Sus scrofa: one gene and its partners. The protein of the gene in region 1 interacts with the protein of each later gene in a pairwise test. Links are inferred from orthologs where the notes say so. Each region holds a gene or a part of one and is shown in the gene's direction. Other genes may lie near its edges.

Region 1 (4,252 bases):
AGGATCAGGGTAGGCTTGGATCTGATCCCTGGCCTGAGAACTTCCATATGCCGCAGATGCAGCCAAAAAAAAAAAAAAAAAAAAAAGAGAGAGAGAAAAGAGAAATCTCCATTACCTGCCTACAACGTTCTGTTGTGATATCCTCCTGGAGAGTCACCACATTGGGAAGAGGCTTGATTGGAACCAAGTCCACACCTGGAAGAAATCAGGGTGGAGTGTTCCCAAAGGTTGCCTTAAACAGGAGGAAGGGAATGCCGAACACAGCATGTCACACTCGCCATCCCCGAAACGCTTAAAAGAACTGTCACTCACCCACAATAAGGCTGGAGACAGGCATAAACTTGGCAGCCACCTGCAGCCTATAAAAAAGAAGTAAACACTGAAATAATTACCCTGGCTTGTCCCTTTCCCGCCGTCTCTGGCTCTCATCCCCAGTATTAGGAGCCCCTGCCGACTGCAGTGGCCAAACATATCTCATACATAACTTCCAAATATTTTTCCCTGAAATTTGTTTCGGAAGTAGAAAAATTTCAGATTGTTAGTCCTGTATCTCTCCTGCCCACAGTTAAACTCAGTCATCCATGGCGGGAATGCAGAAAGCTGCCACAAGAAGCAACAGGTGCCAGATATTACGCACCATCCACCTGGTGCAGCGCACAGGTCTAGCAAGGCTCGGGCTTTCTGCAGAAATTGAAAGCGGCGATTCAGCTGGATCAACTTGAAAGCAGAGCGGGAACGGTAACCTAGAAACAATGAAAAAAGAATAAAGTCCGCGAAAGCGCTTTCCCAGCGGGATTACGGTGGCCTCACAACCCACCACCTCTTCTGTGGAAGAGAAACCCAATGTTCGGGAAGGAGGCGAACAGGCAAAGATCGGTGGCTCTCTTGCTCTCAGACTGCGTAAACCATGACTCACCGGTCTCTTTCGCCAGGTGATAGAACTTGTCCCGCCGGCTCTTCCCTACTTTGCCCTTCTTGCCCATAGTGGAACTGGGGAGTGCCACTCAATCTGGAGAGAAAGCAGAAATCAGGACGTCTCCGCCCAGAATACTAGATTACGCTCTCCGCTCCCCACTCGTCTTCTCAAAGACACTCCGCACTCCGCTCCTAACACCACCCAGCTCCGTTTTCACTACCCCAGCAGCGGCACGTGTAAGCAGCAAACGTATTTCCGCTTCCGTGTGCGTCGGCTGCGTCCGCGGATCCAAGTTTTCCGCCATTTTGAGCGTGGCCACAAATTTTTCTTTAAGCTCTGTGTCCAGGTTTATAAACTAGATGTTTGCACCCGGAAGTAATATTACTTTAACCAAAACCTAGTTTCTTCGGAATAACATTTAGGAGCTCTGCGTCCTCTTTATCCCCTTCCAAAGCTCCTGACCTCGCGTGGCCCCGCCGCTTCAGGGCCCCTGTTATTTGCTTTGTTTGGGCGCACACCCCGCCCATTGACCCGGAACTGTTCTCTGCCCGGGAGTTCGGTCCCCCAAGCCCCGCTTCCGCGCCTGCGCACCAAAGCGGCTCTGATGCCGGGGGCCTCCGCGGAAGAGGGAAGATGGCGCTTGACGGGCCTGAGCAGGTATGGCGGCGGCTGCCGCGGCCAGACGGGGATCAGGGCTGGATGCGGAGCAGGTGTGATCCGAGGTGGGCAGCCGTCTGGGGCAAGAGCGTTGAGGCAATCAGGTGTGGATGGACCAATCCGGACCGGGCCCTGCCTGGGAACGGATCTGCTGTGTCAGCGCCTCCCCCGGCGGGTCAGGGCAGGGCCGGGAATGGAAGACCCGGTGGAAGCGGGATGAGTGAGCGAGTCGCCCGAGTCAGGGAACCCGTCCTTCTTGCTGGCTCCTCCTGTAGTAATGACCCTTCGGGTTTGTATGCCGTTGCCTTGTGTGTTCTCTCTTGCTCCTCCTGAAAGTCTTAAGGGGTGGACTTTTTTTCCCCTCTTTCTGTTTCCCCTCTTCTGTCACTGGGACACGAAGGGTTTTGAAGAGATGGAGTGAGGGATTAGAACCCAAGTCTTAGTCTCTGAAGTCCAAGCTGGAAGTAGCTTTATCCCTTGGGTGTTTAACCTGTTGTTTAATAATTAAACTGTCTTCAGATGGAGCTGGAAGAGGGGAAGGCAGGCAGTGGACTCCGCCAGTATTATCTGTCCAAGATTGAAGAACTCCAGGTAAGAGGTCCTGAGGGAGCTGGAAGGGCTTCGGTGAAGGATCGATGGAGCCGATTTCTAGAAAGCCGTATGATTCCACTGGGGCGCAGTGGAAGAAGCAAGAAGCCAAGGGTATGAATTATATCAAGTTAACAGTTTCTTCCTCAAGTCCCACCCTTTTGAAGATCATTAATATTCACAGTTTGTTACATATTTTCAGGAGTCAAATTTTCACATAAAAGTTAGCCCCGGCCAAAAATCATTCCTTTCAGAGGAAGCCTGAATGGTAGTTTCTTATAAAAGGGAAGATGTAGGTTCAGAAGATGGGATTTATTAGAGAGGGGTTGGGGCAGAGTGAGAGTGAGGGAAGACAAAATTGAGGAGTCTGAACAATGCTGGTTCCAGGGGGCCAAATGAAAAGGAACTAGCAACCCAGTATTACAGCCTAAAGAGGGAGCCAGATCATAGAAATGAGGAAAATATTGCAAATTAGATGGAGAGCCACAAGGAAAAATTCTCACTTCCAGGTACATTTGCAGGTTTCATATTTGGGTGGTCATTTTTGAAATGCTTTACCTGTGCTGCTTTCATTTGTTCCTCAAATTAACCCCGAAAAGAGGCCAGTAGGTGCACCACTTGCAGTTTGGTGAGAGATCTAGACCTTTTAAGTGGTTTTCATTAGCTTTACTCAGCTATTAACAGCCAGCAGTGGGGCTAGAACTTAGGCTTCTGACTCAAAGTTATCTTCTCTCTCTACCATGTTACTGCCCTGCAAGACACAGTGTAAGCCAGCTGTTGCCTCTTCTCCATTAGGGTTTGCTATTCCTGGACCAGTGTTAGACAAGAAGCTTTTTCCCTGTGGTTGTCCTACACTCCTGAGGAACTCTTGGATCACATTAGAGAATCTGAAATAACATGCGGGTGCCCAGTGCTCTTTCCTCACTCTGCTCCCATCAGCCTGTGAGGGTCATAACCTCCTACCACTGTCTGCCCTTTGCCTCTTGTCCTCCACAGCTGATTGTGAATGACAAGAGCCAGAATCTCCGCAGGCTGCAAGCACAGAGGAATGAGCTTAATGCAAAAGGTGAGGGGGAAGGATGGGAAGGCTGCACGCAGGCAGTGTGAGGTCCTCACACGGGTGCCTGTCGCTTTCTCATAGTTGTTCACGTGCACATCTCTCAAGCTCCCTTGTAACCTCCTTTAAAGATATGAATTTCGACTTGTAAAAAAAAAGTCTTATTCTAGTTGATTCACAGTGTTACTTCTGCTGTGCGGTAGTGTTGCAATTACACACATATATGTTCTTTTTCACATTCTTTTTGTTACGGTTTATTACAGGGTGTTGAACATAGTTCCTTGTGCTATGCAGTAGGACCTGTTTTGACTTTCTTTTTGAAACCTTCCTTTCAAAACTTCAAAACGGCACTTAGTTCATGCATGCTGAATCCTGAATCAAGTCGTGGGGGGAGACATCAAAGAATCTGGGTGACCACTATGTCTGTTTCCCATCTAGTTCGCCTGTTGCGAGAGGAGCTACAGCTACTGCAAGAACAGGGCTCCTATGTGGGGGAAGTAGTCCGGGCCATGGACAAGAAAAAAGTGTTGGTTAAGGTAAAGGCAGCATGAGCCCCGGGAGCAGCCCTTTGGTCGTGGCATTCCCATACCTACGTGTGTCGTGAAGGTTCTCCTGTCGTGCTATTGTGAGACTCGGGGGTCTCTCTGGGTGAGGCTCATGGCTGTCAGGGAAGCACACAAGCCTGTGTTTCTGTAGGTGCATCCCGAGGGCAAGTTTGTCGTAGACGTGGACAAGAACATCGACATCAATGATGTGAGTGCAGCAGGTGAGGTTGGGAGTTGGGGGGTCAGCTCTCACCATGCCCCATCCTAAAACTCTCTTCTCTCGCCCAGGTGACACCCAACTGCCGGGTGGCTCTCAGAAATGATAGCTACACTTTGCACAAGATCCTGCCCAACAAGGTAGATCCACTGGTGTCACTGATGATGGTGGAGAAAGTGCCAGATTCAACTTACGAGATGATTGGTGGACTGGACAAGCAGATCAAGGAGATCAAAGAAGTGATCGAGCTGCCCGTGAAGCATCCTGAGCTG
Region 2 (4,122 bases), on another chromosome or scaffold:
CTAAGCAAAAGTGTGTTTTGTTGAACCCACAAAGCAAAAGATATACAAAAATATGTAGGAGAAAAAAGTACTTTTAATATGTTTTAGCTATCTTTTAAAATAATTACAGATATTATAGCAGTAAAAATAAATTTCAGAATTCAATAAATATTTAGAAATTTAAGACTAGATGAAAGAGTTAAAATTCTTGAACTTTGAAATTCCTCTTTAGTGAGAAATAGAAATCTAAAATAATGACAGTAATAATACTAATAATATTTACAAAGGCTTTGAAATTTTCAATATTCCTGTGTCTCTGAAGCACATAAAAGTAAAATGAGGTAGTCACAGTTTGTTTCTTGACTATTTTATATTCAGTAATTTTTAATGAAGCAACTAAATTAGGCATAACTTAGTGCAGCTTTAATGTAGTTATGATGAATATATTTTACTTGATTAAAAATGATAAAACCAGGAAGCCTTAAATATTATCTTAAACGATTAACTACTGTGTCAATTACAAATCTAGGGGAAAGGTATTTATAGGGGAATAACTATTCTGAGGAGTAACTTCCTTTTGTTCATTTCATTTAATTAAAGACTCAATCAACTTTCATTCTAAATACTAAAATTCTCCTAAATTACATATTGGCTTGCAAATGGAAGGGCATACAGCAGAGCTAAGTCAATTTAACACTAGTGAAGATTCAGAAACTAATCCATTTTTACTTAATCGAGGGAGGTGGGGGGACTATTTGGCAGTGTAGAGTGGGTCTAATTAAATAATCACCAATTCTACATTGGATTTTGTGTTACATGACATAATATAAATAAATACCAGTAAAAATCAAGTTATTCTGTATCTAAAGGATGATGAGGCCTGCTCTGCCAACAGGTATGCCAGTGGGTAGAAGCCTCAATGCCTTAAAGCTGAGTAGATGTGGCAAATTTTTTCACCTTTTTTAGGGTGATCAATTAATCAATCAAAGTATTCCACTATGGAAAGTAGATGTGATCATCTATATAATACGTCCAATAAGAAAATAAGGGGAAACTTGAAAATGAACGGTTTTGATATATGCATTAGATTTTTACCACAGTACAAATAAAATGGTCATAGATGACGGTTTTCACCTATAGGAAATACAATAACTACCTACGTTTAATTGCCAGTTCCCTCTACATAGATAAATGTCTTCTAGGAGCAACTAGAATAAACAATTCCTCCCTCCTAAAGCCCTACACCTTCACGAGATCAGTAATACTTTGCAATCATACCTTGTAGCCTCAGCCCTTTGCCTTGCATCACTAAGTTAGCCACATCGCCAATCGGGGTTGTTACCCTTGAGTCATGTGTCCCAACCCCAGTTTATTAGCAACTCCAAATGCTAATAAAAATCCGTTTCTTCGATAAAAGGAAGCATTAAATTTTTACGAATTTTTTAAAAAACAGACATCTCATTGTTTTGTTTATTTTGTTTTTAGAACAGGGCTAGAAAGCATCTGAAAGACGGTTTTAAAGAAAGCAAGGAAGGCTCCTTGCCTGGGACTGTATTTTAGTTGTGCTCAAAGTGATGGAAGTTGATTTGCGTTATCCTGCCACTAAGACTGAAACGTCCTGCCCAGGAAAACTCCCGCCAAACATGCGGAGTTTACCGAAAATGGACTTTACAGAGAGCTGCCATAAATTCAAAACTAACTACCCGGGCCGCAGGTTTTGCGAGACAGGGAAGCAAGCAGGGACTCAGAGAGCCTCGTTCCTCCCCTCCAGAGTTCTCCTAAGTGCCTCCTCCCTACTCCTGGAATCGGAACTATCACCCGCAGATCTGCCCGATCTCCTCCTCTGCCCAGTTCGGACAGTCTCTAATGCCAGGTTACAGCCCTGGCCGCCTCAGGCACCACTGTGCTAGCTCCCCTCCCCTTGCCTTCAAGCGGATCCCCCGTGGTCCCAGCCCTCCAAGAGCTGCGGGGCGATGATTGGCGGCGACGCTGACAGGAGGCGGGGCCTGGAAGTCTCAGCCAAACCCGCCCTCGCGTATAAGCCCCTTCTCGGCTCTCTCTCTCCATCTCTCTCCTCTTTCTCTCTTGCTCCCTTCCTCCCTGTAACTGAACAGTGAAAATTCACATTGTGGATCCGCTAACAGGCACAGATGTCATGTGAAAACGCACATGCTCTGCCATCCACACCGCCTTTCTTCCTTTTCTTTCTGTTTCCTTTTTTTTCCTTGCTCCTTCTCCCTCTTCTTTGTAACTAACAAAACCACCACCAACTCCTCCTCCTGCTCCTGCCCTTCCTCCTCTTCAGTCCAAGTGATCACAAAAGAAATCTTCTGAGCCGGAGGCGGTGGCATTTTTAAAAAGCAAGCACATTGGAGAGAAAGAAAAAAGAAAAACAAAAGCAAAACAAAACCTAGGCACCAGCCATTCAGCACATTTTTTTCACCCTTCCTGAAAACAAACAAACAACCAAACAACCATCAAAACAGTCACCACCACCATCATCAAAACTGTTAACATAGCAGCGGCAGCAGCGACAAACGTCACCCTCCGGCCACGGCGTCCACCTAAAGGGATGGTTTTCCGGGTGGAACAGCTCTTCGCCGACCACCTACTTCACTTGTGCTGAGAGGGATTTTTGGGCTCTCCGGGGTTTGGGCTGGGAGCAGCTTTATGACTACGAGGAGCGGAAGAGCGGCCACACCATGCGAGGTAAGCAAGCCCGGGGCACGGTGCTTCGCCGGTCCGGCCAACTCCAGCCAGATGGGTGATGGGGGAGGGGAGCGCACTCAGCCGAAGAGGAAAGAGGTTGGCGGGGCGCAGTTTCTGAGTTCGCGTTCGCAGGTGGGCTGCAAATGGCCTGGGCGTATAAAGTTGTGGGAAGGTGTTGATGCCTCTCGGGAGTTCGGAGGGACACTGGAGGGCGGTTTTGGGGGAAGGGGTTGATGCTAGTTGCTTCCTCCCAGTTTCTGAGTTGCACAGAACCATTTTGGGGTTTCACTCTCTAGAGGGAGAACTAGGAAAGGGATGTCTCTCGGCAGAAGCCACTAGAAGCGCCGGGCGCACGGCCGTCGCCTGCCCGGGTTGGTCGCGTGGGGCGCACAGGCAGGCGGCAGAGAGGCGGGTACTCAAACACTCCAGGTTACGCGAGACCCACCAGCGTCCAGGTCAGCGGACATGTCCCTTCGTGGGAGTGGTAGAAGAGGAGGCAGTGTCGTATATGTAGACGCAGATTCCAGGATCGTCCCCCTGCGCGCGTCCTTCGCACCGCCGCTGCGCCCTGCCAGGTCCGCGTACCCGAGCCCGCGCGGCCCTGAGACAAGCGCCATCCAGAAAAAGTTGTGCGGAGAAAGTTCCAGAGGATAAAAGCCCGCGCTAACAGCTACAGGAAAGGCTCCTTTATCAAAGGGCAGCTCCGGGAGGCGGTTGTGGTTGAACCCTCAGGCCAGGACCCCCAGCTGCGGCGGTGACGGCAGCAGCAAGGCAGCGGCAGGTCTCTGGGGCGAACTGGAGGCCGAGGGGCGACGCTCCGGGGACCTGGAGCAAGGCACCTGCTCAGGCTGCACTTTGGGCTGCGGAGCAAATGACCAGGCCTGTTTTAGAGTCACTTTGTCAGTCTCTTCCCCTGCGGTGCCAGACCTTCAGGTTTCCTGCATGCTGCGCCCAGACTTGCTCTCCTCTACTTTCCGCTTGGCCACAACTTCACTTTTCTGGGAGAGCCAGCCGGGTGCCCGCGTGCCATGGAAATGTAATTGCAAGCCTCTGAGCACCTGCCCCCCACCCCACAGTTTTTCTTCCTGGCCATTCTGCATTTCTTGTGGCAGGGCTGGGACTCTCCTCTCCTCTTGGCTGGCCCTTCAGGGTCCTGACAACAAAGTTGGAAAAGGTCAGCTCAGACCTTCCTACTCGCCCTCACCCGGTGCGACAGGTGGGCTAGACAAGAAAACTTGCAAGAGTTGGGCTGAGAGTAACACTGGTCTCCTTCCACCGGGCTCCTACCCATACCTGGAGAGGACAGCGGGCATGCTCCCCTGCTCCACTTGCAGTGAGCCCTGAGCCTAGACTCTATCACAGAAACTGGGTTAGCCAGCAAGGCGCTGGGACATAGCAGGAAAGGGAAGGAGGAGGAACAGAGAAGCCATCCAA
Region 3 (4,178 bases), on another chromosome or scaffold:
CCACGGAGTGGTGCCTGAGGTCCCAGCCGCCGCGGTCTCCGGCCTTGGCGCTGCTGGGCACGGTCCTTCCAGCGCCCCCGTCCTCCCCCCTCCAAGTCGGTGCTGGAAAATCACCCGCTGCTGGCTCCCAATAACCAGCTTCCGGGGCATCGAACCACCCCCACCTCTCCAGCTCGGACTTGCGCTCCCCCAATACCTCACTCCATCCAGTACCCCAACTGACGACCTTGTCCACATGACAGCCCCTCCGGAGCCCGAGCTCAGAACCTGGCAAACAACCCTACAGACATTTTTGCATGGAGGTTCTGCACAATGTTTATTGGCTGGTGTCTCTGGGGTTTGACAGTAACTCTAACATCCCGTATTTGGCCGAGGAAAAAAATGCTCCTTTTCCCTTAAAAAAAAATTAATATTAAAATACCCAGCATCGTAGATAAAGTAGGTTATCGTATTCTCTTATTTTGTATCCCTCTACTTTCCGCTTCCAAACGCAGTAACAGTCCTAGTAGTGCTGAGCGCTGGGGCTTGAGGCGAGGGGGTGGGGGTCTGCTTCCACAGTTTGCACCGAATTAGTGATAGAATGAGGAATGGGGGTGGAGGCGCATTCCTTCGGGGGCCAAGGCTTAAGCCCAAGGGGCTGTGTACCTATCTCGCCTATACCTGAACCTCAGAACTCTTCCCGGGTTTCTGTACACAAGTAAAAAGGCGCCTACGCCCCATCCCCCAACCCCGGGAACAAGGGTCCGCATTGAACCAGGTGCGAATGTTCGCTCGCCTTCTCTGCCTTTCCCGCCTCCCCTCCCCCCGGCCACGGCCCCCGCCTCCCCCCCGCGCTGCACCCTTGGTGTTGGCTGCAGCCCGCGAGCAGTTCCCGTCAATCCCTCCCTCCCGTTTACACAGGATGTCCATATTAGGACATCTGCGTCAGCAGGTTTCCACGGCCGTTCCCTGAAGTTGTGGGGGGAGCCATCCCCGAAGTCCCTCATTTTAGGGGGTCTACGCGACCCCAAGACCGAGACTGAGAAAAGCTCAGAAGATAAAGAAACACAATAAGACGAAAGGCAGGGGGCTGAGACGGCGGAAGAGGCAGCAAAGAGGCTGCAGAGGTGGCAAGATCCGAGCGCCACCCCTCGAGAGCTGCAATGGTAGCGCTCCGTGACGTATTGGGCTCATTCATAAAATGCTGTTATAAAAGCAGTGGCCTAGTACTCCAACCGCATCTGCAGCGAGCAGCTAAGCTGAGACAGAACCGGCAGCGGCGCAGCGAGCGAGCAGCGACCGCGCTCTTACCCAGCTCAGCCCCGCAGCTCCTACCTGTCTCCGCCCCTCAGCCCCTCGCCCGGCTTTGACTACCTGCGATCATGATGTTCTCCGGCTTCAACGCCGACTACGAGGCGTCATCATCCCGCTGCAGCAGCGCCTCCCCTGCCGGGGACAGTCTCTCCTACTACCACTCACCGGCCGACTCCTTCTCCAGCATGGGCTCTCCCGTCAATGCGCAGGTAAGGCTGGCTTCGTGCCACCGCGGGGCTCGGGGCTCGGGGTTACCGGGGAGGAGACACTGGGACGGGACGCTCAGGAAGACAAGCCGGGGACCCCATTGGCCAGAGAGGGAGGCTTGCCCCGGCCGGATCAGCCCTATCTCGGGAGCCCCGGACTTGTTCGGAGCGCACACATGCTTGTCAAAATAAGAATCTTTTCTCCTCTCCCGCTGTGGGCTCATTCTGAGCTGACCCTGGCCCACGCGCTCTGACTGGTCTCTGACATTAGCTGGGGGCAAAAGTGTCCCAAGCAAAGACTGGCTAACTAGAGCCGGGCACCTCCGGGGGAGGAGGCAAAAAGCGGCGATCCTCCCTCCCCTCGCAGCCTGGAGCAGGGAGGAGGGTGAGAGGAGGAGGGTGAAGCCGGCGGGTGTGTAAGGCAGTTTCATTGATAAAAAGCGAGTTCATTCAGGAGACTCCGGAGCGGCGTCTGCGTCAGCGCAGACGTCAGGGATATTTATAACAACCCCCCTTTCAAGCGAGTGATGCTGAAGGGATAACGGGAACGCAGCAGCAGGATGGAGGAGAAAGGCACTGCGCTGCGGAATTCTTGGGAAGGGAGAGACCTTTCATCCAGGATGAAGGACATATAAAAATACATAAGCAGTCCATTTTTCACTCTCTCCCTGCTGCATGCGGCACTGGGCACTCCGCTCACCCCACCTGCGTCCAGAGCCTGGTCGCTCACGTCAGCTTTCCCCTTCTATATTTCATTCTAGGACTTCTGCACCGATCTGGCCGTCTCCAGTGCCAACTTCATCCCAACGGTGACTGCTATCTCGACCAGCCCAGACCTGCAGTGGCTAGTGCAACCCACCCTGGTCTCCTCGGTTGCCCCATCCCAGACCAGAGCCCCTCACCCCTACGGAGTCCCCACTCCCTCGGCTGGGGCTTACTCCAGGGCTGGAGTCGTGAAGACCATGCCAGGAGGCAGAGCTCAGAGCATTGGCAGAAGGGGCAAGGTGGAACAGGTGAGGGTTCTCAACACCTTCTCTCTGGTGGTGGCTGGGGTTGGGGGGGTAAGGTCAGTCTTGATGGAGATGGGGAGCATAGTGGACAGGGTGAAGCCATGGGTGGAACTGATTACATATCCTGGACTGGGAACCCCGGCTCCAAGCCCTATCCATCCCAAGTCAGACTCTAATAGTCCACCCTAAGTAATATCCAATGTGCAGTTTCTTCCCTAATAGTTTCTTATCTCACCCTTGTAGCTTCTCTTTGTTCTCCTGCTGAGGTTCTTATTTTAAATGCAAGTCACACCCAGCTTGCAACTGCAGGTTAGAAATGGCTTCACAGAAGAGGTGCCAGGAGGCGGGAAGCTGCAGGCGCCAGTTTTCCTAGGGTGGGTGAACGGAGCTGATAGCAGGCACTGTTACTGAATGTTGCCCTCTCTCTCTCTCCCCACCTCCAGTTGTCCCCAGAAGAAGAAGAGAAAAGGAGAATCCGAAGGGAAAGGAATAAGATGGCTGCAGCCAAATGCCGGAACCGGAGGAGGGAGCTGACTGACACACTCCAAGCGGTAGGTAGAATCCATGGATCACTTCTTTCGAAAACTTAAGGGCAAAGTTAGAGACTGGGTAGAAGGGAACAGAGTCTTTGAGTAAGACCGTGTCTTATGCTTTGCTGTATCCTCTGTATCCAGGAGACAGACCAGCTAGAAGACGAGAAGTCTGCTTTGCAGACTGAGATCGCCAACCTGCTGAAGGAGAAGGAAAAACTCGAGTTCATCCTGGCAGCTCACCGACCTGCCTGCAAGATCCCTGATGACCTGGGCTTCCCTGAAGAGATGTCTGTGGCTTCCCTTGATCTGAGTGGGGGCCTGCCTGAGGCTGCCACCCCCGAATCTGAGGAGGCCTTCACCCTGCCCCTCCTCAATGACCCGGAGCCCAAGCCCTCCGTGGAGCCAGTCAAGAACGTCAGCAGCATGGAGCTGAAGGCCGAGCCCTTTGATGACTTCCTGTTCCCAGCATCGTCCAGGCCCGGCGGCTCTGAGACAGCCCGCTCTGTGCCGGACATGGACCTGTCTGGTTCCTTCTATGCAGCAGACTGGGAGCCCCTGCATGGTGGCTCCCTGGGGATGGGGCCCATGGCCACAGAGCTGGAGCCCCTGTGTACCCCGGTGGTCACCTGCACCCCCAGCTGCACTACTTACACGTCTTCCTTCGTCTTTACCTACCCCGAGGCTGACTCCTTCCCCAGCTGTGCGGCTGCCCACCGCAAGGGCAGCAGCAGCAACGAGCCTTCCTCTGACTCGCTCAGCTCACCCACGCTGCTGGCCCTGTGAGCGGGCAGAGAGGGGAGGCAGCAGGCAGGCACGCGCCACTGCCCGAGTCGGTGCATTATGGAGAGGAGAAACACGTCTTCCCTCGAGGGTTCCCGTAGACCTAGGGAGGACCTTATCTGGGCGTGAAACACACCACCAGGCCGTGGGCCTCAAGGACTTGAAAGCATCCACGTGTGGACTCGAGTCCTTACCTCTTCTGGAGATGTAGCAAAACGCATGGAGTGTGTATTGTCCCCAGTGACACATCTGAGAGCTGGTAGTTAGTAGCATGTTGAGCCAGGCCTGGGTCTGTGTCTCTTTTTCTCTTGCTCTTTAGTCTTCTCATAGCATTAACTAATCTATTGGGTTCATTA

Evidence for each region.
Region 2: the proteins of PSMC5 (region 1) and RORB interact in binary tests that used the Homo sapiens proteins (3 or more experiments, as listed by UniProt). The link is inferred for Sus scrofa from reciprocal best matches to the Homo sapiens genes PSMC5 and RORB.
Region 3: the proteins of PSMC5 (region 1) and FOS interact in a two-hybrid assay, tested with the Homo sapiens proteins (3 studies listed by BioGRID and IntAct). The link is inferred for Sus scrofa from reciprocal best matches to the Homo sapiens genes PSMC5 and FOS.

The regions. Positions count from the first base shown.
Region 1 is NC_010454.4:15,103,476-15,107,727, reverse strand, and holds the start of PSMC5 (26S protease regulatory subunit 8), read left to right. Parts: upstream 1-1,401; 5' UTR 1,402-1,549; coding exon 1,550-1,573; exon of another isoform or gene 1,574-1,850; coding exon of another isoform or gene 1,851-1,862; exon of another isoform or gene 1,863-2,086; intron 2,087-2,092; coding exon 2,093-2,164; intron 2,165-2,956; exon of another isoform or gene 2,957-3,058; coding exon of another isoform or gene 3,059-3,157; coding exon 3,158-3,227; intron 3,228-3,656; coding exon 3,657-3,754; intron 3,755-3,914; coding exon 3,915-3,971; intron 3,972-4,051; coding exon 4,052-4,252. Other genes in the region: pre-rRNA processing protein FTSJ3, read right to left, coding at 116-195, 313-359, 638-743, 917-983.
Region 2 is NC_010443.5:227,572,667-227,576,788, forward strand, and holds the start of RORB (nuclear receptor ROR-beta), read left to right. Parts: upstream 1-1,305; 5' UTR 1,306-2,649; coding exon 2,650-2,688; intron 2,689-4,122. UniProt on the Homo sapiens protein: Nuclear receptor that binds DNA as a monomer to ROR response elements (RORE) containing a single core motif half-site 5'-AGGTCA-3' preceded by a short A-T-rich sequence.
Region 3 is NC_010449.5:98,448,147-98,452,324, forward strand, and holds FOS (proto-oncogene c-Fos), read left to right. Parts: upstream 1-1,361; coding exon 1,362-1,502; intron 1,503-2,260; coding exon 2,261-2,512; intron 2,513-2,952; coding exon 2,953-3,060; intron 3,061-3,183; coding exon 3,184-3,825; downstream 3,826-4,178. UniProt on the Homo sapiens protein: Nuclear phosphoprotein which forms a tight but non-covalently linked complex with the JUN/AP-1 transcription factor. In the heterodimer, FOS and JUN/AP-1 basic regions each seems to interact with symmetrical DNA half sites.